Linked DNA regions of Kluyveromyces lactis. The protein of the gene in region 1 interacts with the protein of each later gene in a biochemical or structural test. Links are inferred from orthologs where the notes say so. Each region holds a gene or a part of one and is shown in the gene's direction. Other genes may lie near its edges. The genes, in order: KLLA0_A02189g and UBC9.

Evidence for each region.
Region 2: the proteins of KLLA0_A02189g (region 1) and UBC9 form a complex in vitro, tested with the Saccharomyces cerevisiae proteins (11 studies listed by BioGRID, with this or other methods). The link is inferred for Kluyveromyces lactis from reciprocal best matches to the Saccharomyces cerevisiae genes SIZ1 and UBC9.

The regions. Positions count from the first base shown.
Region 1 is NC_006037.1:186,147-199,798, reverse strand, and holds KLLA0_A02189g (Siz/PIAS RING finger protein), read left to right. Parts: upstream 1-2,950; coding exon 2,951-5,299; downstream 5,300-13,652. Other genes in the region: PUP1 (proteasome core particle subunit beta 2), read left to right, coding at 245-1,033; ADE8 (phosphoribosylglycinamide formyltransferase), read right to left, coding at 1,289-1,936; STE14 (protein-S-isoprenylcysteine carboxyl O-methyltransferase), read right to left, coding at 5,430-6,176; VPS71 (Vps71p), read right to left, coding at 6,557-7,306; carnitine O-acetyltransferase CAT2, read right to left, coding at 7,634-9,667; DFM1 (Dfm1p), read right to left, coding at 10,280-11,128; rRNA-processing protein RRP17, read left to right, coding at 11,647-12,378; ERD1 (Erd1p), read right to left, coding at 12,425-13,579. UniProt on the Saccharomyces cerevisiae protein: Acts as an E3 ligase mediating SUMO/Smt3 attachment to septins and PCNA. May be involved in chromosome maintenance.
Region 2 is NC_006041.1:433,019-444,777, forward strand, and holds UBC9 (E2 SUMO-conjugating protein UBC9), read left to right. Parts: upstream 1-10,427; coding exon 10,428-10,901; downstream 10,902-11,759. Other genes in the region: E1 ubiquitin-activating protein AOS1, read left to right, coding at 1-122; GTPase-activating protein SEC23, read right to left, coding at 280-2,562; GPI-anchor transamidase subunit GAB1, read left to right, coding at 3,203-4,381; mRNA splicing protein SMX3, read left to right, coding at 4,701-4,703, 4,815-5,150; ATP10 (Atp10p), read right to left, coding at 6,533-7,384; CCW14 (Ccw14p), read right to left, coding at 7,871-8,617; PEX19 (Pex19p), read right to left, coding at 9,181-10,083; SYO1 (Syo1p), read right to left, coding at 11,244-11,759. UniProt on the Saccharomyces cerevisiae protein: E2 ubiquitin-like--protein ligase mediating SUMO/Smt3 attachment to septins and PCNA. Seems to be involved in degradation of S- (CLB5) and M-phase cyclins (CLB2).

The DNA.
Region 1 (13,652 bases):
GTATTATAATTAATTAGGCTGCTTCACTGTCAATTTGGTCAAACACTTTATTGTCTAACATAATTTTGATGTGTAATTCCATTGTTTCTCTGTTTAAAGGTTTCGCCATTTGGAATTCTAAGTTTTCAGGCTTTTAAGTGAAATTGACAGTTCTACGTATATATAAACTGGAAGTTATTTGATAATGGAGAAAAGAGGGCCATTTGCCACCGAACAGTAACAAGTATCAGCAAGGAAAGTAACTATGTCCGGAGGGTTATCGTTTGAGAATTATCAGAGAAATGTGCATCTAGCGGAAAAGTCGCACAAGCAGCCCAATGCTACGTCTACTGGTACTACAATTGTTGGTGTGAAGTTCAACGGAGGCGTTATAATTGCTGCAGACACAAGATCTACACAGGGTCCAATCGTTGCAGATAAGAACTGTGAGAAGTTACATCGTATTGCTCCTAGAATTTGGTGTGCTGGTGCTGGTACTGCCGCTGATACCGAGGCTGTGACGCAATTAATCTCGTCGAATATTGAATTACATTCATTATACACTGGAAGGGAGCCTAGAGTGGTATCGTCGCTACAGATGCTAAAACAACATTTGTTCAAGTACCAGGGTCACATCGGTGCATATCTAATTGTTGCTGGTGTGGATCCTACTGGTGCGCATCTATTTTCGATCCATGCTCACGGTTCAACAGATGTGGGTTATTACCAATCTCTTGGTTCAGGTTCCCTTGCAGCAATGGCTGTGCTAGAAGCCAATTGGAACCAAGACTTGTCAAAGGAAGAAGCTATTAAGTTAGCATCCGATGCCATTGAGGCAGGTATCTGGAACGATTTGGGTTCAGGTTCTAACGTCGATGTGTGCGTTATGGAAGTTGGGAAGGACGCTCAATTATTGAGAAACTACTTGTGTCCAAACGTCAGAGAACCAAAACAACAATCATACAAGTTTGCCCGTGGTACTACAGGTGTGCTTAAGGAATCTATACTAAAAGTATGTGATATCGATGAGGAAACCGTAAACATTACGGCTTGAACTATTCCCGAAGGATTCTAAAATAATATGTAAGAAAGAATTCAAAGGGCTATTTTCGCAAACAGAATTCCAGGCAACGATTTGGTTTATTTACAATGTATATCTATATAATTGCAGTTAATTGAGAAAGCTGTTACACTACTTCTTGTTATTACTAAGTATATACACTTACATTCTTATACAGCTTACCTTAAAAGATGCCTTAAGAGGATGCAACTGCGAAAGCGATCCTAATGGAATAGAACTATAACTGAATCAAATCAATTTGTTTGATTCCTTTAAAGCTATGATTGTGGCTTCAACAATTGCGACATGTTCCGCAGCGTGAACCCTTGTTCCGTACTCTTCCAAGGATTCCTTACCTGGAACAATTTCTAGTTCTTTTATTACCAATGATTCGCCCCTATCTACTTCTTCAATGACATAATGTACCATACACCCTGCAATTAGTGGTCTCTTCTGCTCTTGACACTTATTCCACGCCATTTCAATCGCATGGGTGGTCCCATCGAAAGCACCAGGAAGAGCAGGATGCAAGTTAATGATCGGTAATCCGTTCAATCTCTTTAAAAAGGTAGGACCCAAAATTAATAACCACCCTGCGCATACAACCAAATCTGGAGAATCCTTCAGTATCAGATCTGCGAGGTCCGCTTCAAACTTATTTCTTGCCTCAGCACGACCCTTTTTGTCATCCTTCGACAAGTCCTTTGTGTATGAATACAAAGACTGTACAATGGTAGGAATTCCATTATCACTGGATCTTGTTAAACCATATGCTTTCTTACTACTTGAAATGACCCTACAGATATCTATAGGCAATTTGCCTTCTTTCTTAGCATCAATTAACGCCTGTAGATTCGAACCTGAACCTGAAATTAGCACAACAACTTTTGGTGCCATTTAGATCTTGATATTTAACGTAAAAAGAGTCGCAGAATGTGAGTAGTACCGAAAGGAATGTTCTATACGATAATACTTAGTCTGATCAACCACATCAATATAAAAACATCTATTTTGAGAGGTGACTTAAGAGCTTTTTCATAGTGATGTTTAGTATATGATAATAGCATCGATGGGAAATTAGTATCGTTAATGTAAGGTTCACTATTTCAAAGTATTATGTGGTGTAAGGATGTGTTCAAGTCAATGGGCAGACCTGCAGTCCAGTAACTATGGCTAAGATTTAACTACCAGCTAAATGCACATATAGCTCCCGGAAAGTAACAAATTAAAAATATACAACTCAGTTCTTTCAGAACTCATACTTGCTGCTAGCCGGCTTAATCTTCTTAACTTTGCTGATATCTCGGCGGATCAGTTGAAGAGATGATGCTTTGATCACGTGACCATAATTTAATATCTTTAGTATCATAGCTAATTTTACCCATTGGTACCAGCAGCAATCGCCTTCCATACTATCAGGACTTCACATGCTTTCAGCCCATTTACGAATCCCTTCACAGAAAGTTTGGCGACCATGATACTATCCATCTTTTGCTTTATTTAGTATTAATGTCCGTTCTGAAAGAAAATATGTAACTCAACTCGATATAACAATGAATCGATTTGATATGAAAAATAATTAACAAATCTACACATATTTATGAACTTCACATCCTCGGTCTAGGTAAGCTCGGCTTTATCTACTGGAAGGTACTGTTGCTAGTATTGCTGTCAGTTTTTGAGAGCTTTAAGTCCCTATTTGCCAATATTTCGGGCTCTCAGTTCGCCTCTTTTGTCATCGGAGACAATCACAAAGGGCTTCTACAATTAGTTCCTGAGAGCTAAGTAATTCTCTATCGGTATTTTGTGATATATTGGCGCAACTGGGCATTATTTCATTCCTGGCAACTAACAATTTGAGAGAGCAGTTCGTTATTTCTGGTATTTTAGGTGGAAACACGCCATATAACCATGCAGCATTTATTGGACGATACTTCAATAGACTCTGTCAAACAGGAGATCATGCTGCTTAAAGTAGCAGAGCTAAAGAATGTTTGTCGTTCTATAGGTCTGCCGATAAGTGGGCGGAAGACGGAGTTACAAGATAGACTATCTTCGTTTTTAATGGCTCCAAGTAGGGCTGGCATGAATGATCCGTTCAGAATTCCAGCAGTTAACATTTTAGTCAAAAAGGCCGGTGCTGGTGATCCAGTACCGAAGTTTGAAACATTATTGCATGCGCTTGCTACAGGCTCATTCATGCATCCTGTTGCAACCGGTCACCAGGATGCTTCCGCTCTAATAGGTAACAACAGACTTGCTGGTAAACCTCACCTGCGATTTCAGCAAAGTCCATTTTACAACTTGAAGAGACTGGTAGGCTCCGAATCTGCTCCTGAGGCCCCAAGCAAGCGAGGAGTTGCTAACATCTCTTTTAAACTAGTAGAAGAGGAGATGAAACTACTCAAAAGTAGTCCTAAAATTAAACTCTATGTGTTTTGCGGAATAAACAATTCTTTTGGAGCTAGTAATGACATACCTATTCAGTTTCCTCTGAGGAATGAGATTAAATTTAACGGAATACAAATAAAAGACAATGTTCACGGTTTGAAGAACAAGATAGGAACTGCGAAACCCGCTGATCTAACGCCGTACATTAATTGGCCACCAAAATCAAATCTTTTGCAGCTAGTTTATGCATTTACGAAAGACGACCATATGGTGTATGTCTATTTGGTCGAACTAATAGAAACAGAGGAATTGTTACAGAAGACATTAAGTAGCCCTAAAATTGTTAGGCCTGCAACGCTACAGTACATCAAACAGACTCTTTCTGAAGAAGAAGATGAAGATATGATGACTACGTCAACAGTTATGTCTTTACAGTGTCCGATTTCGTATTCTAGGATGAAGTACCCTGTAAAATCCATCCACTGTCGCCATTTACAGTGTTTTGACGCTCAGTGGTTTATTGAATCACAGAGACAAATTCCTACATGGCAATGTCCAGTCTGCCAAAAGCAAATTCGTATAGAAGATTTGGCAATATGTGAATTTGTGCAAGAGATCATCAGTTCTACCGACGAAGAGGTTGAGCAGGTTGAAATTAGTAAAGACGGTAGTTGGGTAATCAAAGATGAAACAGAAAATCACAACCAGGAAGCTAGTACTGCACCTAATATTAAACAAGAGGCCACACCTGATATAAAGCCTGAAGATTCACATGCTGTAGAGCAGCATGACGAACATCCTCCACCGGAACATGTAATAATTTCCTTAGACAGTGATGAAGAAGACGAAATAGAACAAGCGACATCTAAAACCAATCCACCAAACCGGCAGTCTACTTCACAAAATTCCGATAACACTTCAAGTAGTACCGATTTAAACCAAGATAACGATTTATTGGATGATGAAGATATGGCGTTCATCGAAGAACTTGCCAATTCAATCATTGATCGAGTACCCAGGAGATCGCAGCATGAAAACAATGTCACAAGCACATCGAATCTGAATGTCAATGGACTCATTGACCCTAATACTAGAAATGAGGTACCAGAACGAAGAACGAGTTTGGATCCTAGAATGAATGATTATGATCTGCTGAATTTAGCCGCAGAACAACCCACAAATTTTCGTCAAATGAGAGGAAGACTGTTATCAGAGAATAACCAAGAGAACTCGCGACCCCCAGTACCTAATCTTTTGGGTAAGGCTCCTCTTAACACGGATTCACATAAGGTTGGACCACAACTCCCTAACATGTCTCAACTCACAAACGCAGATTCAATGTTATTCAATGGAAATGGACAAGCTCACCCTCAAGCACCTTCCGGTTCCTTTTCTGATAGCAATTCTCGGATCGTTGTTCAACCAATGGGAAGTTCTCCGCGTGGCCAAACAAGCGATAAAGTCACACAGGTATCCATACAGCCCACAGAACCTCCTTCCATGGGAGTTCCTGTACTACCACCTCTACCAACTTTGCCAGTGAGATCAACTACTTCTACGATGTCACCGAATTTACCTCAACCACCGCCTATCCATGATCCTAGAAGAAGGAAGCCAGAGGTATCACCGTTTTTACCCAAGAAGAATTTTAAGAATGTTCTACCGAAGAAAAGAGCACACTCCAACGGCAACGCACAAAATGTGCATTCAGAAATCAACGGGAACCATGACTCTGGAACCTTACCAGCACCTTCACCCATATCCAATGTGCAGGTATCGCCTTCCCCGGCTATAATGAATTCAAATAATGTACCGCCTCCTAATGACTCTCTTAATTCTGACGATTTGATCGACTTGACCTCCGATTAACATTCTACAAGGATTACGTTAAGTTTTAGTATGAACTGCATAAAGTATATACATAAAACTTCATAAATCATTCATATACAATATTGTATTTTTACTGTTACAACTACCAAACCGAAAAGAAATGGCTATTCTATTTGATGAAGGGAATACCAACTCCTACAGTTTCCCTGTACGTTATGTACTGATTCCCGAAAAACTGCACGAGGTATCTTTCTTCGAATGCAATTCTACTATTGAAGAATTTCCATAAAACGACAATAAAAATGACCAATGAAACTGGATTTAACAGCATTAGCTGCGAGCCAACAGACCACCAAAAGAATCCAAAGTAACTGGGATGCCTACTCTTTGAATATATGCCGGACGTGACAAGAGTGTGGTCAGAGTTCTTTGTTACCTTCACAACATGTGAGAATGATTGCCCCGCTGTGATCATTGCAGATGATCTAACATACTGTCCAAGGAGTAGCAATACAACTCCTACGGTAACAATAAATTCGTTGTAAAAGGAATAGGTTGTAGATTTGAACGACGGGAATAGAAGGCGTTCTATGATTGTCTCTATCAGTGCAACCGAATGGGCCAAAAAGTACCCGACACCGTTGTTTATCAAAAAGGAGTTTGTATTCAATTTCCCAGGATTGTATTTGGCAGTAATCCAAAACTCTAACAGATGAAATATGGATAGTGAGATCATGTATATGTTGAAGTTCCAAAAAGGAGACAGGCATAATGTAATAAGGGATACACCAAAAATCACTCCTAGCATAAATGCCGTTAAAGATATCTCGTCCAATTCGTTCTTTTGTATATTAGGAAATGTTTTCCCATCAATAATCACAAGAACATCCTCACTTTCATCATCTCTGCTCGACATAACTTCCGCACCTCTCAATCCACGCCAATACCTTCACTGATTTCAACTAGAATAGCTCAGAATAAAAACCAAAAACCAGCGTGAAGGATTCTTCAAGGTCTGATATATTAATGGAATATGATGCGTACTGCTAAATACCAACAGCAAGGAGTTCAAATAGTGTCTTGTTCGATAACAAATAGTTAAGTTAAAGTCTTCTCTTTCATCGGTATTAAAATTGTTTAAAGTGAAAGAATGAAAAAAAAAAGATAATGGCCTCGATTTTATACTATAATCAGTATTTACAAAGACATCAACATGAAGCAACAAACACGGGATCATGAGCAGTGTTTTGAGGTTCAAAGAGAGTAGCTGTTAAGTTTTTTCAGCTAGCAGCAAACTCAGTTGTTACATCTTGTTTCACTGTGTAATTCATAACAGCGAAGACTGCATATCTTGTCATTGCAAACAACGCAGTTAGATATACTGGAGTAACCACCACACATAGAGCAGGTGACGATCATTGGTAAGACCCTGAAAAACTTCTTGTTTTGAACGTTACTATAAATGAGTGTGTGGTTCACTTGGTCTAAAGTTTCTAGATAGGAGTGTAAAGACCTTCTGCTTGAAAGTACTTTCCTTAGTGCTGATATTCTGTTGGAACTTTTCTTTGATTTCCGAGGCGGCTTGCTTGATTTATACAATAAATTCATAGACTTGGGCAAATCGAACTTGGCCATCCTCTGTCTGGATGAACCTGAGCCTGATTGTTGCTCAGATAATATACCGGTGCTTGTTTGATCGATCTTATCTTTGTTCAGCCCCGTGATGTTACTGAGAAGAGTTGTAACTTCACGAAGATCTTGATAGTTTTCTGTGTCAAGTTCCATGAACCGCTTATTAGATCGTAACAAATCAGGCAAGGCATGCTTATCAGATCCTGTCAGTTGATTTATGTCGTCTTTATCGCTTCCCTTGGGCTGATTATATATCTTTGCCTCCAAATCAGCCAATGAATAATTGACTCTCTTGTTTCTTGCTGAGGTTTGAGACTGTTTCGAGACCCTTGCACTTTGATGAGTTTGGTTCAAACTGCTGAAATAAATGTTAGGATTATACGTCCTCACATTGATTTCTTCTACCGACCTCATATTGACACTCTTCGCACGCTTCTTCCTTCTTTTATCCAGTGATAAAGTGTCTTCCTCGGTATACTCACTATGATAAGGTCGATTTTAAATTTCTTTGCCATATTCTCATTTGATATATAATATGGTAGATATGCGAACAACAGTAACTGAAGGGAGAGAAAAGATGTCAATCATTGGGTAAGATAGGCCGTTAACGTATGGTTGATGATGGTACCAATTGTTGCCAGTGCATCCTTGTTCAGTAATTCATAATAGATCATAAAGTGGTTAGAATATCATATATAATGGACTCGTACTAAAACAATATAAACTGGTGCCTGTGCTATATCATAGTTTGGCCTTGGCAGAGTTGTGTAGAGACAAAGTTTCATACATTTCATCTGCCGCCTTAGTTAAATAATAGTGTAGTTCGTCAACACTAAATCCAGAAGCTTCTGGTTTGTTGGTGATATTAATGTGCAAAAATTCGTTATTGATCATATAGGCTAAGCCAAATCCATTATCGTATACTTGAGACCAACCGTAACATTCAAAGTTTTCAGAGGATAATTGTGAAGTTGAAATCAACCAAGTAGAACTGTATTTGAACAATGCGTCTTGGAACAAAGGTACTGGCTCATCAGATTCATGAACCATGTTTTTCAACCCAAAGAAATGGCGATCAACGGCTTCACCGTTAGAGGCCATCTTCAAATATTCAACATGATCCTTGGCAGCATCGTAGAAAGCAGCAATTTTCTCTTCAGTAGTAGAAGTAGGTGATTCCCATGTTTTAACGAACTTGGAAGAGGATTCAGTGACCGGTCTACCAGTTTCAGTTCTACCTTGGAAAAACGCTCTGGTAGAAGCAGCTTCGTACGTTGGTAGTTGTTTCTTCAAATACTTGAAAACAGCAAGTTGAATCACCTGTTGAATGTAAGCATCTGGTGACACTTTAAATGTTTTCACAATTCTCTTACCATACCTATTATAGTGCCAAACGCGTAAATCTTCACGTTCCACTGTTGTTATAAATTGCAATTTTGCACTCTCGATAGTATTTCTCAAGGTTGGTGTAATTATAAATGGTAGATGTTCACTGTTCACAGAAGGGTAAGCTGATACGTTGGAATGTAAGGACTCGACGAACGCTGAAGGATTCAATTTTGTTAATTGATCCACGACGTAATGGTTTAAAAACAAAGTTGGAGTACCATCCATTTTCGAATGTTCTGCCAAGAAACCGGAGAAACCGTTACCAGTAACAAAAAATTGCAAAGGCTTGTCAAAGAATCTATTGGTTCCGTCTCCGTGCCAGCACACTCTAGACTTATCTTCCAAAGTTATTGGAGCAGTGTCCTGATCCAAACATAAGACGAATGAGGATTTGTGGATGGTTTCTAAAGAGGAGGAAGATACTGGTTCTAATTGCAATTGTTGATAAGCGCCAGCCCATTCATCACGAGGAAGAGTTGTCAATGCACCGATTCCAGCGTTTGCATTGATCAAAGAACCCTGTGAACCCAAATGGTTGACAATTTGATTCAACTGTTGGTAGATTACTGCGTTGGACAAGACTGCCCCAGCTTTATCGTGTGTATAAACTTTGAAAAAATTATCCTTGTAGGCAACCGTCAAGTAGCCATGTTCATAGATCGAGTAAAAATGGTTCGTATCGATATTGAATTGAGGAACCCTTGAATTATTGAACATATATTGGAATCCGTTCATACAGAAAGGTTTGCCCTTCACCACTTCTGCTGGCAAGGCTTCATCTTTCAAGGATTCCACGAACTTCACCACACTAGAAATAATCGCCGTGGCCTTAACAAGCATGTCGCCATCGATGGCACGGTGACTAGTTGGTAAAGGCTTATGACCATAAAAATATGACACAAAAGGAACCACAGGTGACCTATCGCCAAGATAAATCTGACTATCCCATAGTTCTTGCATCCAGTTTCTCCGCTCCTGAGAATAACTCAACAACCGCTCCTGCAAAGCAGGGCCTTGGTCTGAAAGAAATGAGTAACATAACTGGATCTGTTTCTCATATTCAGCATCCGTCTGACAAAACGGTTTAATAGACTTCAAATATTTGTCCAAAGTCGATTTCAACTCCGGAATCGGTAAGGATGGCATATCCTGTTGTTTTGAGTAAGTGGCTCCTTTGAACCCAGGTCTCTTCTCCTGATAATACGAATTAGGTCTTTCTGCAATATACTCATCGTTAGTCCCGGTCTCAAAAGGGAACTTCTGATACCCCGAATACTGCATCTTACCAGACATCTGTCTCAATATAGAACTTTTCTTGTTACCTTGACCCATGCGTCTCATCCCCATACTAATACCAGCACTGCTTCTAAATGCCATACTTCTCATCGTCACTGTTGGTGTTGGTATTCACAACGGGTATTTAACTAATAAATAAAATAAATATCACAACAATTGAAACCTTTTATTCTATATCGTGTTCCGCTTTCTTGAGGATGATTTTGGTTGTTTAAACCGGCAAGGAAACCATTTTCGGAACAAACCTATTAAAAGCGAAAGGTGTCCTTAACTTCTGAAATGCAGCTATATATATACTAAATAATACTAGCTCATTTGTACATGGTTTTATTCATAAAAGGCTGAAACTCGAGAAATCCGAATTGCTGATCATTCATTACACAAGAGCCCATTCCGTTATATACGTCCGAACCGAGTGATCATCAACGAACCTGTACCAGTAACTCTCTGCAATCCTGTACCCAAGACGTGCTTCACCTCCACTCTTGGTCCCTGTGGTCATTCGTTTGCTCCAACACTTTTTGATCATCAACTATTTTCTCGCCATAACGGGCTTTTAGGCAGAACCATCATACAAAATCAATTTTCCATTGTCGACATATTTCCATTAAACCTGGGGTAAATAAAATAACACAAATGATATATACACAAGGGAGATGTAGATAATATAGATAACAGTATGTCGGATTATTAGTACCTTAATCAGTCTATTTTGGTCCCTAATCTATTTCCAGTTCCAGCGAAAGTGCTTTTCTTTAACGGGGTTCTCAACCTTCTTCTGGTCACGGGGTCTGTCCTGTTTGATGACGAAACGGGTTTGGAGGTGATGGATAGGACACGTCCTATCCATAGAATGATCGAGGAGAACCATCTTGGTGATCTGAAATGACCTCTTCCAGAGAATCCGTACGCTGGGTCCTTCCCCATCAGATAACCGTACAAGGGACCGTAAGTCCATGTGTCTAGGCAGGAGTAAACGTATCCAGCACAAAACCCGACCATTGTGACGCAAAACCTGCTGTAACCATCGGTCCCGTCATCAAATAAGAACGAAACGAAAAGATGCACTAGCGATAGATATTTACCCAAGATTGGGAATAATCCGTAGAACATTACCTTCACGTTGCTGTTGTCCAGAGTCCACGTATATAGGATCATTCCTATGAATGCGTTAGTGAACACTGGGTATGAGATCTGGCATGCTTCTACGAGCACGACGATCAATGCAAAGTTGAAACATATGTAAAACAAATAATCGATGGATTTGTTGCTGAAGTGCACTAATTCGAGATGTAACGATTTCGAGTATACTGCGTATAGGTCGAAACATGCTTTCATGGCATCGTTTGGTAAGATGAGGAAACTAGTGAACAACCTCCAGATTTGGAACTTGAACAATACACCACGTAAAGACCATTTGAAATCGCTGAAATAGTACGGTAATACGTTCAAGCGTTGGATCAAACATATTAACACCATTAAGAGACATATTCCTCGGGTCACCGGTGGAATTTGTCCTACAAACTGTATCAATTCGTTACGCATAGTCATGGCTGCTATGAATAATCACGCGTATCGTATATCCCACTGATGTTACTGAATGGTACCTCCGGTGTCTATCTTGACAGCGCATCTGTATAGTGAGTATAAATATCTTTCTTTCACTGCAACTTGGAACTGAAATTTCATAGAACCCGAAAATTAAAGCTATGGGAAAGACATAGATAGGAAAGCACAGAATGACAGAAATTGAATAGTTAAGTAATGATCCTCTACACAGGTATACGCCTAGATTTGTTTTCTACTTAGTGCATGGCAGAGCATATGAATTGGTCTAGATAAATTAGGTCAGGACGGCTAGATTGCCCTTATGCAATCATGTTATAGTTATCTATGTATTTCTTTCTGTATCTCGAAGTTTCAATATTTGGAAAAAGCATTAAAACGGAAAAACTTGCTGATGCGATGAGCTGAAGAAAGCAGATAGGCTTTTCACTTACTGAGGTGGTGCTGAGACCGGTTCAAGTTCTGCAGAAGATACAGAGTAGCAGTGTGGATATAGAGTGAAAATGGTGGCAAAGAGTAATCGTGAGATTCTTACCGGTGGTAAATCTTACAAGCAGAAAGCTGCTAAGAAATTCGGTGCTGATGAGGTAAAGTTCGATAAGGACTCACGGTTGGAATACTTAACTGGGTTCCATAAGAGAAAGCTTGATAGACAAAAGAAAGCCAAGGAGTTCATCCAAGAGCAAGAGAGAAAAGCTAGGCTCGAGGAAAGGGCCAAGATCAGAGCAGATAAAAAAAAGGCTCTTGAGAAACAGCTTGAAGATTTTAAACAGGCGATGAAAGATGTCGGTGATTATGTCGGTGTAGAGGACGACGACGAAGAAGCCGAAAATGGGAAACAGGGAAGCGATGAAGAGGCTGAAGAATGGACGGGATTTTCCGATGATAACGGAGATGCAACTGAAGAAGAAGAAGAGGATTCTGACTCTGTTAGTGTGAAACCGATCTTAAAGAAATATGTACAGACTTACTTAGATGATACTACGGTAGACATCGAACCCTTAGAGCCCAATGACAATTTTGAGTACCTTGCGGAATTAAATAATGTGAAGTTAGAGAAATCGGAACAAATTTTAGATCAAAGCATCGAACGTGCGAAGAAATATGCAAAGTTTTTGGGAGTTGAAGAAAAATCTGGTAATAAGAGTAAAAAGAATAAGAAGTTCAGATACTTGACCAAGAACGAGAGAAGACAAAATCAAAGAAAGGCCAACAATAATAAACGTAGGAAGTAATTAACCTTTTTTTTTTATTTATTATCTTCCTCTCTTTCTAAACATCTCATTCATCCATTTTCCCCCCCTCTGTTGTTGCAATGTATTCTACCTCGACTTTAAAGAATAACCAAATCCATCTTCTGATTATCTCTAAAATTTGTAACCAAAAGATGTTTAATTCCCCATAAAATACAGAGTGCCCACTGATATACTCCCAGAACCATACGAATCTCAAAATAAAATCGAGCGCCATAGCGCTATAATACCACGCATTTTTCCGGTACAACAAAATGCTTCTTAAAAGACCGTCCGCTTTGTTACTACTATTATTGTTATTGACACTAGTGTCCCCATTCACAAAATCGAACAGCTCTAGTTTCCAATCCATGGTCACATCCCACCAGAATGAATACGCGGAATTCCAAAACATGAACCAATACATCATTCCAAGTGGGCCCAGGTTGTAATATCTTGTATAGACTGTAACTAGCATGATAGGAATATTACCAGCATACTTAAAAGCATTGAACAATTGTGAACCATCTTTCTTCTGAGACCTTCCTCTTGTAAATTCTCTTAACGATTGAATCATTCTGACCAATGAGGGCAAGACTCCAACAAGTACGTCAATGTTTAACGATATAGCATTTTCATATCTTTCCACTTGACACTTGACGTTTGTTGGATCATGGAAAAGGAAAGTGGCATAAATAGCTAAATCCACCAATGGCTTAGAGTACGAGGTCAAAGTATCACTAATTATAATATAGTTATTCCTATACGGCTTTGGTTCAATGTCAGCTACCCAAAGTATTCTTTTAAAGCACCTTGCGACCATTGCTGATGACCTTAATATCATTGCAAATATGTAAAACAACTCCAGTAGTGGTGAAACATTCAAAAAAAACCAAAGCAATTTGTTGGATACGTTATTAGTGAAGGAGTATTGGAATAAGATTATACATACCAATTGCCACGGTATAATGACTCTAGAGATTGACTTGAACAGTTTCAGGCTTGATTGGTGTATTTTCGTGGATGTGTTAAAGTAAGGTAGTCCCGTGGACTCATTGGATACAATTACTTTGGACACGTCGTAGTAGGATACTGATACCTTCAGGAACCATGTCCATAGCCATAACCCTAATAACACAAGGACAACAACTCTCTGTGGGATCGGTAGGTAAACCAGAAAGGGTTCAACAGATTCGGCGTCCATGAATGCACGTATAAATAAGGAATCAAAAAAATGTAACAAAAAAAGGAGGAATAGAAGCAGAAGAAATCCCTTT
Region 2 (11,759 bases), on another chromosome or scaffold:
CAATCATTGGAGGAGCCGTTGCACAAGACGTGATAAATATTCTAGGGAAAAGGCAATCTCCGCTTAATAACTTCGTTGTTTTTGATGGTACGTCTTTAGATATGTGGGTATTCGAACTTTAATGACCCTGGTTTAGTAATTTAGCAATCAGTATCATTATATAGGACTAATTTATATAACATATGCTCATAAAACGCTTTATGAGATTTTTATCAAATATGTACCTGGTTGGAAAGCATAAGCATGGTATGTTCAACACTACTGCCATCAGGACAATAATTATGTTTGACCATTAACAGTTACTTGTTGCAAGTGGGACATGAAATTTTGTAAAGAAACATCATCAGTCAACACGATAGTTGAACCAGCGACAGCACCACTTTGATAACTGTCAGATGGGTTCAACTTGGATAACAAGAATCTGGCTTGCGAACCGCCAGCCTCAGTATCAATGAATCTTGGTAGAGGGAATCTGTCAATCAATAATTCTGCTGCTTCAAGCTTTGGTTCTTCTAATAAGGACTTGAAGTCTGCATACTGCGGATCATCTTGGTAACCTGCTTTTCTCCATTGAGCAATCTGTTCACCGTGATAAATCAAAATATAAAAGAAGGTATCCAACAACAAAATTGTGTTTGGTTTCACTGAAACAGAATCTAACAACACTGGTTGAGGTTCTTCTTCCATGGAGAATGAGGTTAGAGTAGGCTGAATCATAATCAGTGAGTTAGTGGTATCTTCTCTAGTGAAAATGTGTCTGTAAAATGCAGTTTCATCCGGAGAGTTATTGAAAACAGACAAAAACTGAGATCTTCTCAAATAATATGTGAATTGTGGATACAATGAAAATTGAGGAGATAATCTGAATGATGATGGATCATTCTTATTGTAGTCAGCGTATTTTTGACACAATTTAATCAAAGTTCTGTCAATCCATCTAATGACATCAGCGCCATCATCAGATTCTGCCTTGTCAACAGCAATTCTTGCCATTAGAACGGCAGCAGCCTCCTGATCAAAGGAGGATGCAATGGCTGGATTTCCAAAGGACAACATTTGGTTAGCAACAGTGGTGACCCTGACACGGTTTGTACCGGAGGAATGTTCATACGATGTAATGAATTGGGTGTAAGCTAACTTAGGCCTATCTGTCATTACTTCAGCAGATGCACCCGGGTTGACAATTTCAAAGAACACAGCGTAAGTGTGGCGTGGCGATAAAGATGACATCTTCCAAGAAGAAGTACCACCAATACCTATCTCAGAATCACTGACATTGGAGGCCTCGGTCTTAGTCTTCACAGCAGAGGCGTGGCCAATTAAACCTTGTAATTTTAGATCGCTACTTGTCTTAACAGACAAGGTACCCTTGAATGCCATTTGCAAATAACCTTCTTCATCCTTAGAAAAGAATCTTAGATATGACTGTTTAAAAATAGCGGTGGAGAACGCATCAGTCAATAACAAGACACCACCAGTGGAATCTGTTAGTCTCTTCATTTCGGACATACCAACTTGATCATAACAACCAGCAAAAATATCGACTGTATGACCATTGTCAGCGACTTTTTGAGCCAATTGGTTGTAGAATTTACAGGCCTTCTTGTAATGTTTTGCAGAATCAGAATCAATATCGTGATGAGATCTCAATGGGTCTTTTAATTCCGGGGAAACGACAAGACCTGGGCCCACGGTGCCAGGACCGGAGGAGAACAAGATTATTCTAGCAGCAACGTTCTTGTAACAACCTTCCAACACCAACGATGCAATGTTCAAAGCAGAACCAGTCGCTCTTAAAGGTCTGAAACCAGATTTCACATCCCATTGATCAGGCTTCAGGTTTTCCAACAATTGGGTCAACTTGAATTCAACTTGTTCCAATGGTAAGAAGAACCTGTTCAAAGAGAAAGGTGTAACCTTGGTTGGAGCATTGATATTAACGGCTTGTGCAGCATTTAATTTTTCACCGGTTAGCATTTCAACTAATTGAGCCAATTGGTATTCACGATCACCTCTGAACACATTACATTTATCAATAGAAGCTGATGATAAGTCGTGCAGTTGAATCACATTATCGTAAGTGATTAGACCAACTAATGCATTTGCAGGAAGCAAGGACAATGAAGTGATAATTGATTCCTTCAAAGCTTGGAGGTTTTCCTCTTCTGCAGTAGTATCCACAATAAAGAAGAAAATTGGTGGAACTTGGACAGGAACACTGGTGATATATTCAACTGTAGTATTAGTCAATTCCAGTGGTAAAGTTTCCTGCGTCATATTGGCATAATGTTGAGGAAGAATGTTTCTTGTCTTACAAATAGGACAAGTCCAGGTATTGGATCTAACATCGATCTCACAGTAAGGATTTAACACAGATTTACAGTTGATGTTACCACATACCACAGGATTATAGCCAGCAACAGCAAGATCTTCACGTTCCTTCAAAGGAGTGTATAAACATCCAACTGGAACCACATTCTTATTAGCGTCAGTTCTTGACGCTGGAAACACGTTCCATGAGAAACGAACACCGTTAATATCTTCGTTTTGTTCGAAATCCATGGTGCTAAATCTCTTGATTCCAATCTATAAGCAGTTGGAAAAGAATGTATAAATCTTCTATGTGGTTCAAACAGATCAAATCCCTAGCACTCACCTTAGCCTGAGCAATTGGACTTTTACAGGCTACTCTGGTTCTCTTTTTGTTGTGTTGATAAATCCTGTGTATTGCTAGATATTTTTTTCATCAAAACATTTCTTTCAAGGTCAGAAAATGCCAAATAATGCAAAACAAAAAATGACCCACTAAGGAAAGGCTTGAACTCAGATCTCTGTGCCTCAGTGCTGTAAGATTATCGGTTAAACACAGTATTGTTGTGACTAAACCTGACATTCGACTGCAGGTTGCAAAATTCTGCTGTTTTAGAAGCGAGTATCTTAATCACGTGATATGTAAACACGTATTAGAGTAAACTGTTCACGTGTCCGGGTAATGTTTGTGTGGATCACTTTTTGTATTACCATTGATTTAACTGATGTACTTCATTTCAATACAATAAGCTTTCAAATATGCATAATTTGTACTGCAATTACGAAGCTCGGTTCACGATTGGTTTGTTTTTTTGCATTGAACGGTGATACGATTCTGAGAGGATACGAAGTGACCCTACTGTGTTGACTTGTTGTGTCGCTTGAGGTGATTATGGTTTCGTCCGAATGGCAGGTTGTATGGGCTTGTTTTGCGTCCAGATTGGCTGTTTCGTACCTGTTCCCTTCTTTGCAGCAGCAATTGGACAGAACCGTTGAGTTTTCTACTCCGGTTACAAGCTATAGATCTCTGCAAGAAGGTGCGTATCTTTTACTGCATAATTTGCCCATTTATGATGGTGGTGTTGTGCATCATGTGCCTCTGCTGGTAGCTTTAATGGCATTCGTTCAACAAGCGGAGTTTCTAATGCCCGTTTTGTTTGCGGCCATGGACACTCTAATAGCGTATCAATTGATGCAAATAGCTAAGATATATCAACGCCAATTGCAAATTCCTAGTTATATTCCAGGTGTGGTTTATGCAGTGAACCCTTTGGTACTTTTATCATGTGTCTCACAATCGACATGTCTATTTGTGAACCTTTCCATTTCTACTTCTTTACTATTTGCGTTATCTAGACAGTTCTCACTGTCAGCCATATGCATTGCGTTGGCTGGTTATTTATCACCTTACGCTTATCTACTGTTGATCCCATTGGCAGGAATCTGTGGATCAAATTCTTTCGGCCTTGTTGTCAAGTGTACATTGGTATCGATTGTTTTGCAGTTGATCAGTTTCAAGTTAAATAACGATAACTGGAACTATTTGACTTCAACATACTGGATATTGATTACTTTCAGTAAGATAAGGCCAAATCTAGGGTTGTGGTGGTATTTCTTTATTGAAATGTTCGAATTTTTCATCCCATTTTTCAAATCTGTGTTCAACATATTTGTTGTTTCATTTATCCCACCTTTCACTATTAGATTCAATCAGCAATCGTTTTACGCATTTGTTCTATGTCTAGGTTGGATTACGCTCACCAAATCATACCCAACGTTAGGTGACGGAGGGTTTTTCTTAAGTTTTATCCCATTTTTCAAACCGATCTTTGGGTATCTAAGATATCCAGTCATATCAACCCTTTTATTCATTCATGCCATCATTTTGTCACCAATCTTCTACTACCTATGGATTGGATTAGGCTCCGGTAATAGTAACTTTTTCTATGCCATTTCTTTGGTTTATGCGTTAGCCATCTCGTCAGTGATTGTGGATTTGACGTGGGCCATGTTAAGAATTGAATACGATTCAGGTAAACCAAACCTTTCATTAAAACTGACTCAAATTTGAATGAACCCTGTTCCTTCTGTTGGAAGAAACATATCGTATTGTCATTATTTAATATATATCTAAGTATGACTTACCCAGTGCATGGCATAAAAACTTTTGAAAACTGTCCGGACTACTTTGGTTTGTTTTATTTGTTCCCTTGGTAGGGCATCTAATATTTCCATGCCATATTGAAAAACATGAAAATACAGTATTGCAAAAAGATAGACAACGAAAACATTACGTAGCAACCAACAGACGTAATAAAACCTTTAACAGATTCTCGAATTATATCGTGTAATCGATACATATCAGAACACCCGCGCATTAACGTATTGAAATGGTAAGTTTTCTTGTTCCATACTTTTTTGGTCGCAGCTAGGACGATTATGTCCATCTGCGATCGATGAATCCACAGATTTTGTCACCTTACTAACCAATTTAAACGTTGCAGGATCCAGAGGAATTCAAACCAATTAACCCTAAACCCTTTTTACATCAATTGATAGACAAAGATGTGCTGGTGACACTCAAATTCAATAAAATACAATATAAAGGAAGACTTGTATCGGTAGATACATATTTCAATCTACAACTAACAGATGCGGAAGAGATCATAAATGATGTCTCAAGTGGGAAAGTTGGGGACATTTTCATCAGATGTAATAACGTGCTATACGTAGGAGAGGATGTGAACAAGCAAAGTGATCAACCCCCTACGCCGACTGGAACAACAGAGAAATCTGACGATAAAGAGGAAAATGGAGAACTCGCAGAAGAAGCGAATTAATATAGCACTAGTCTGAATATTATTGAAGCAAACAAGGAAACATCGGAATAATTATGGATTCACTGTATAGCTTTCCTCAGTTGTAATAGAATTAGGGAACTGCTTATCTTAATAAAGGGAATATTAGTATTAGTATAATTAATGATAGTATAGTTTATGTAGGTTTTACAATTCAAAGGCTCATTCTAAAAAAATCTCTAGAGATTAATACCTTATGTTTTTCATTCCAAGAAGGTCTCGTTCACGGTGTAACAGCTGTTCCAGCCACCATGGATTTCTTATTGCTTACTAGTTTTCCAGTTGAGTTGGGGTAGTGATTTCCAAAAAAAATGCAAAAATGAAACGGACAGGAATTGAACCTGCAACCCTTCGATTGCAATTTTGTTTCCATAGAAATTTCCAGGATTTAACTGGAGTCGAAAGCTCTACCATTGAGCCACCGCTTCATTCTTAAGGTTTTTATCTATAACATCTTCTATATGAAATGGAGTGGCAGCATTCCTTATTTATAATAGTCACTTTAGGCCAGAGTATATTGCTAAGGTGAACCTGGAGCATTTCAACTGAATTAGGTGTCGTCGGTACCAGTGTTTTTTAACAGAATTGAATTACGCTTCCCAGGATAATATAATTTTAGTTTCTTGTATGCAATGATCAGTATAAAATGCACATATTATTTAAGATTCGATGACGACTGCCAGCAAGTTGGCCTCGTCACTGCAATAAAATATAATCATAAAGTAATAGCGAAATGAGGATTACCCTTTATATCACAATATATGTGCCCGTCTTGCGGTAAAACCGATATCTTTGGCTCAAAGTTAAATACTTTTGTGAGATTCTATTACCGAATAGATCATGACCTGAATTCAGTCATCGAAATGAAAGCAGTGATGGTGTTCATTTACAAATTACCTCTGTAGCTTTCTTTGGTACATGCTTCTGCTCTTGCTTTTCTAACAGTTCCCATGCCCAGTAAAGGATGTAATAGGTGCCTACACTAAATAGTACCATCTTGCTGACTGGTTTTCCCCAGACCCTGTAGATTCTTGCATGTGGAGAAACTGGCTTTGGCTGAGCTTGTTGAAATAAAGCTTTGGTGAAGTGCATGTTGGTATTTTAAGGCAATAAACTGCAGCGGTTGCGCTTCTTCCTTGTCCTGCACAATTAAGTGCCCGAAGACACTGAGGTTCTGAAAAGCATTTAGCTTTTTTCAAAGTACCTTTTGTTCAAAATTCCATACTAAATTTGTTCTACCAGTGAAGAGATCGTCATATCGTCATATCTTGTAAGATGAAAACACTGGGTAACACTGAGGTTTAATCTTTTATTTTGTAGTATACACTGATTTATTTACATGAGTTGACTTCTTTCCTTCTCCTCTATTCGCTTCGAACAGCTTTTACACATTTCCAAAGTAGATTGAAATCTTTCTGTGTAGCTTCACCACATGCTGCCCATCTAATCTTGAGGTTTTCATCCACAACGAAAACATAACCGGAATATAGATTATTAATTTGAAGTTGCTCCCTAATTTGGAATGGTAATTGGTCTCTATTGCTAATAAATGTCTTGTCATGGCGGTGAGGTGGAACAATTGATGCGTATCTATTCTTGACCAATTTGACGACCATAGTTTTTAACCAATTTTCAGCTAAATTGATCTCCACTATTTGAGCACTCTTCAGCCCATCTTGCACTTTTAAAAGGCTTTCATCATTCTTAAGGTAGTCCAGATTATGCTTGTTGTCGATAAAATATGAGTTTATCAGATTTTTACCGACGTCGGTAGTGAACAACCTTATAATAGAGACTTTGCCCTTTAAGGTATCTTCAACGTTACATTCTTTATTATCTGATAGCCGTTGTCCGACTACATGAGGGAAATATAATGATTTGTCAGCCTTCCAGTAAGATGGAGGTGAGATGAATATCTTCCCGTTAGTCTTCTTCAACACATACAAATCGTGGAAACCAGATTTTCTAAACTCAACTTCCAACTCTTCAGCCCGCTTGCCAGTCTTTTCACTATTGAATAAATCCAGGAAACTGTTACCGTACTTGTATTCCTTGGTATTAAAAGGTGGTTTCTCCAAGCCAATTGGCTTCTTCAACTCTTCGATCTTAATATCACGAGGAGCAGAGTTTAAGATGTTATTGTTCAATCTACGGAACAAACCGTAACTGATTGAAGAAGTACTGAGACATCTTTTAGAGCCAAATATTGGTAGCATGCTTGACAACCGAGGATTATTTGTGTGAAGCCACAATGTAGTATCCTTCTTTCATTACTCTGACGTTCTTTGCTGAAACTATTACGCTATAATGTTCTTTTTTTTTAATACTCACTGATCTGATCTATTCGATACCGTGAATTGGAAGAACTACGGAGATAAGCGATGAAAAGTAGTAGTACTGTGAATGAACATATTACTGATATTCAAGAGCAGTAAATTATACTGTTAAAGGTTCCTATTTAAAGTTTTTTTAAATAAGTATAAAGATAAGTAAAAGAATTGAAAAGTATATTTTAATAAATGGTATCGAAGAAAGCTTTTTGAATAGAAAAATCAGTGTGAAATGGTCCGAACTGGTGTCCATTAAAAGAACGTATGAACGTATTGGATTTCTTTGTCAGACAATACTATGGCCACTTTTCTGTTTAGATTTTGTTATAGTAATTTGTAACTAGAATTAATTGATTTGCAAAGGTTGCTAGTTCACAACAATAGACCTGCTACAGCCAAACCACCGAAAACAGCGTTTCCTAACGACAAAGCATTAGCACCATCGGAGGAGATAGTGGCAATGGTGGTTGGAGTGCTAGTTGGTTCTGCGGAAGTTGAGGTTGCCAAGGTAGAAGTTGGGGCAGCAGTGGTTTCAGACACAATTGAACTTGAAGTTGTTGGTTCTGCGGACGAGGTTGGTTCTTCGGAAGTGGATGGCTCTTCAGAAGTGGATGGTTCAGCAGAAGAAGATGGTTCAGCAGAAGAAGATGGTTCGGCAGAAGAAGATGGTTCAGCAGAAGAAGTAGTTGGTTCCTCAGAGGTGGATGAAGAAGAGGAAGATGAACTAGATGGAGTAGAGGAAGATGAAGATGTTGAAGATGATGGAGTGGAAGAAGATGAGGATGAGGATGAGGATGAGGATGAGGATGAAGAGGAGGAGGAGGATGAAGAGGATGAGGTCACATCATCATCCAATGTAACACCTTGAGCCTTACAGGTAGATTCCAATGCGTCTTGAGCAGCATCAGCCTCACCGTCTGGACAGATAGACTTCAAACAAGAGGTCAAATCAGAACCGTCTGACTTACACATACAAGCAATGTCTTGCATGCCATCGCAGTCAGATTTCTTGTTGACTTGAGCAACACATGCCAATAAACAAGCTGGTGGAGTAGCAACAACCTCGGTAGATAAAACAGCAAGAGAAAAAGCAGCACCTAGAGCAGTAGAGAAACGCATAACGAATGGACAGTTCAGTTGATAGTATAACCTTGGTCTTGAATGGACTAAAACAATCCTCTTTCACTATGAAACAAACTTCGTCCAAAATTTTAACATGGTTTAAGAAGGTAGATCAACTCTTTCATATTCAATTTTCTTTTATTTTGGTTTTTCCATGCTCGAACATAGGACTGTGACAAAAATAGAATACGAACATTCCTCAATTTATTTTGTAAATATGCGAACATATGCATGTAAGAACAAACATGCTGTGTTAAAGAATGGCTAAAAGAAAGGGTGCTCTTTGAGAGGGAAGTGTCTAATGGGAGATACTCAGAAGAGTGCACTGTCCCGTATACCTTATGGCAAAAAGTTGTCACATATATTCAATCTTGCATAGTATATTGGTTATTATTGGTTTAGAGCTAGTCTCGTGATTTCAGTCCTCAATATGAATTTCAAAGTCGAAAAGAGAAAAATAGCCATATTATTCGAATATCATACTAATAGGCAAAGAGTGAAAGAAATAGAATAATAGTTTATTATGATTAAATATTATATTATGAGCTCATATACACATTTTATTGCTGTTTGCAGGTATCTTCAAGGTCTTTGTCGATGTTACCTAGATTTTCATCTCCTTGTATTTCCAGCATCTTGGCTAATTCTGACATATCGTTTCCAGGATCGTTACTAGTTCCCTTTGCAACCGGTGAGTCACCGAGTTGCTCTAGTTCATCCAATAGATCTGCGATCTCAGCATGGTACTTTTCATTCGTATAATCATCGCTTTCGAATACACCGATGATCTGATTCACAAGTGCATACTGTTTCTTGTAGTTATCAATCTTGTCGCTGTGTTCGGGGTCTTCTTCGTGTAATCCCATCCACTCGGTGAATTCTCCCTGCATTTGTTTCATCGGCTGATATAGCACTTCTTTAGAAGACATTTGTGAAAGCATTTTCAAAATGGCATTGTCCATTCCTTCTCCGTCCGTACCGTTGCCATCGCCGTTTTCCACTAGTTGATCTAGCAATTGGGAAAGAATATCGTCTGAGTTCTGATTTTTCTTCTCTTCCTCCAAACTTTCATCCACTTTCGTAGAATTTTCTTTCAATCTATCTAGGGTGTTGGAAATGATATTCTTGAAACCAGTACCGCTCTTCAATTGCTCCTGAACGTGTTTTACACTGTTATGGTCTTTCTCCTTCGATGCATCTCCAAGTACAGTTAGCAATGTCTCGAAATTCTGAACCATTTCTTGGTCAGTATCACCGCCTTCCTGCTGCATCAATTGTTGGAACTGTTTCTGCAAATCTTCCATCATCTCGACTACTTCTGGATCATCGCTCTGCGTAGCAGGCTCACCCTTAGTAACTGCCTCATTTGGAACAGTTTCTTGTTTTTCCTGTTCATCCAGTTTGCGTGGATCCTCTAAATAGTCATCCAAATCATCAAATTCGTCAACTTTGTTGTCTGACATCGTTTGTCGAAGTATCTGATTACTATCCGTTGAAATTTTGGTGGTGCGTAGCCCTTACTATTAATTATACCTCAGTTAAGGTTTCTTTAGTCACTGTCAATTCTGAAAAATATCACTTTTTCTTCAAAACACTATTGATGCTTTTTCTACAATATCAAAATCATCTTCAAAATCACAAACAAAAAGACGTATCGCACGGAATATCATATCCTCCAATTATTCAACAACGGTAAATCTGAGTTAAGGCTCTATTTACAACAGGGCGCAACGTACCTTAATATATTTACGGTATCTGTATATTAAAGCGACTCGACGATCAGAACGGCCGAATAATATAAACAGTCATGAGTAGTCTTTGTCTACAGAGGTTACAAGAGGAGAGAAAGAAGTGGAGAAAAGATCATCCTTATGGGTTCTTTGCCAAACCAACTAAAAAGACAGATGGATCTATGAACTTGCAGAAATGGGAGGCTGGTATCCCTGGAAGAGACGGCACTCTCTGGAAAAATGGTCTTTATCCTTTGACCATTGAATATCCTGATGACTATCCGTCAAAACCTCCTAAAGTGAAATTTCCAGCAGGATTTTATCACCCTAATGTTTATCCCAGTGGAACCATTTGCTTATCAATCTTGAACGAAGATCAGGACTGGAGACCTGCTATCACCTTGAAACAACTCTTACTTGGTGTACAGGATCTTTTGGATTCTCCGAACCCTAACTCACCTGCGCAAGAGCCAGCTTGGAGAGCTTTCTCGAAAAACATTAAGGAATATGAGAGGAAAGTCTCAGAACAAGCTCTTAGGTATACCAAGTGATACCTCCATAATACAACTTCGGAAGTAAACCATTTACTGACAGAGAAAATGCAAATACGCAGATGACGGCAGATATCAACTTGCGGGAAACCCTGGGCCTTCCCCAGCGTAAAGCGCAAATCAAATAAATTTGCTGTATTCTATGGCTCGATTTATTCTACGGTGTTGACCATTGTTATATGGCTGTATAGAGATATATCATAGGATGGAACGATCCAGTAGGTGTATAGTTCTCGTGTAAAATTTAAAATTAATATCAAGAATAATGCTAATGAATACTTGATTTATTCAATTATTTTGTATTTTACTATTATCAGGTGTAGACTGTATATATTTATTGTTTTATTTGTTACGTTCATTTTGTTTGTATGCAATAAAACTATCCAATGTAGAAAAGCAATCCTGACATCTTTCTTTCAGTTGAGGATCTTTGTTCTTGTCAACAAACTTGAAAACATTCTTCAAATTTAATGAAACCTGTGTTTGAAGTATCGAAAGATAGTTCAAGTTTACAAATACTGGTTCATCGTAATCAAAGTTCATGTCTGAGTATATTTCAAAGAATGTGTTCATAAAATCTACTACTACTGGTGCTTTTGTTTCCTTGCTTGAAAGTGTATTGATAAAAAAGTCACCTATGGCTTTGTTTAGTTCAATTTGGTTTTGGAAACCAGCTAGAGTACCTAGTACACCGCAACAACGTTGTTGCAACTCCACACCTTCTTCAGGATTCAAACTTTTTCCCTCGTTGAAGACGTTAATTATGGAATCAATGAACTGTTGATTGTTTATTTGAACTACTCGGAAGAAATCACCAGAACCAGAGGTGCCAAAAACGGCTTGAACATTCTTCAACAA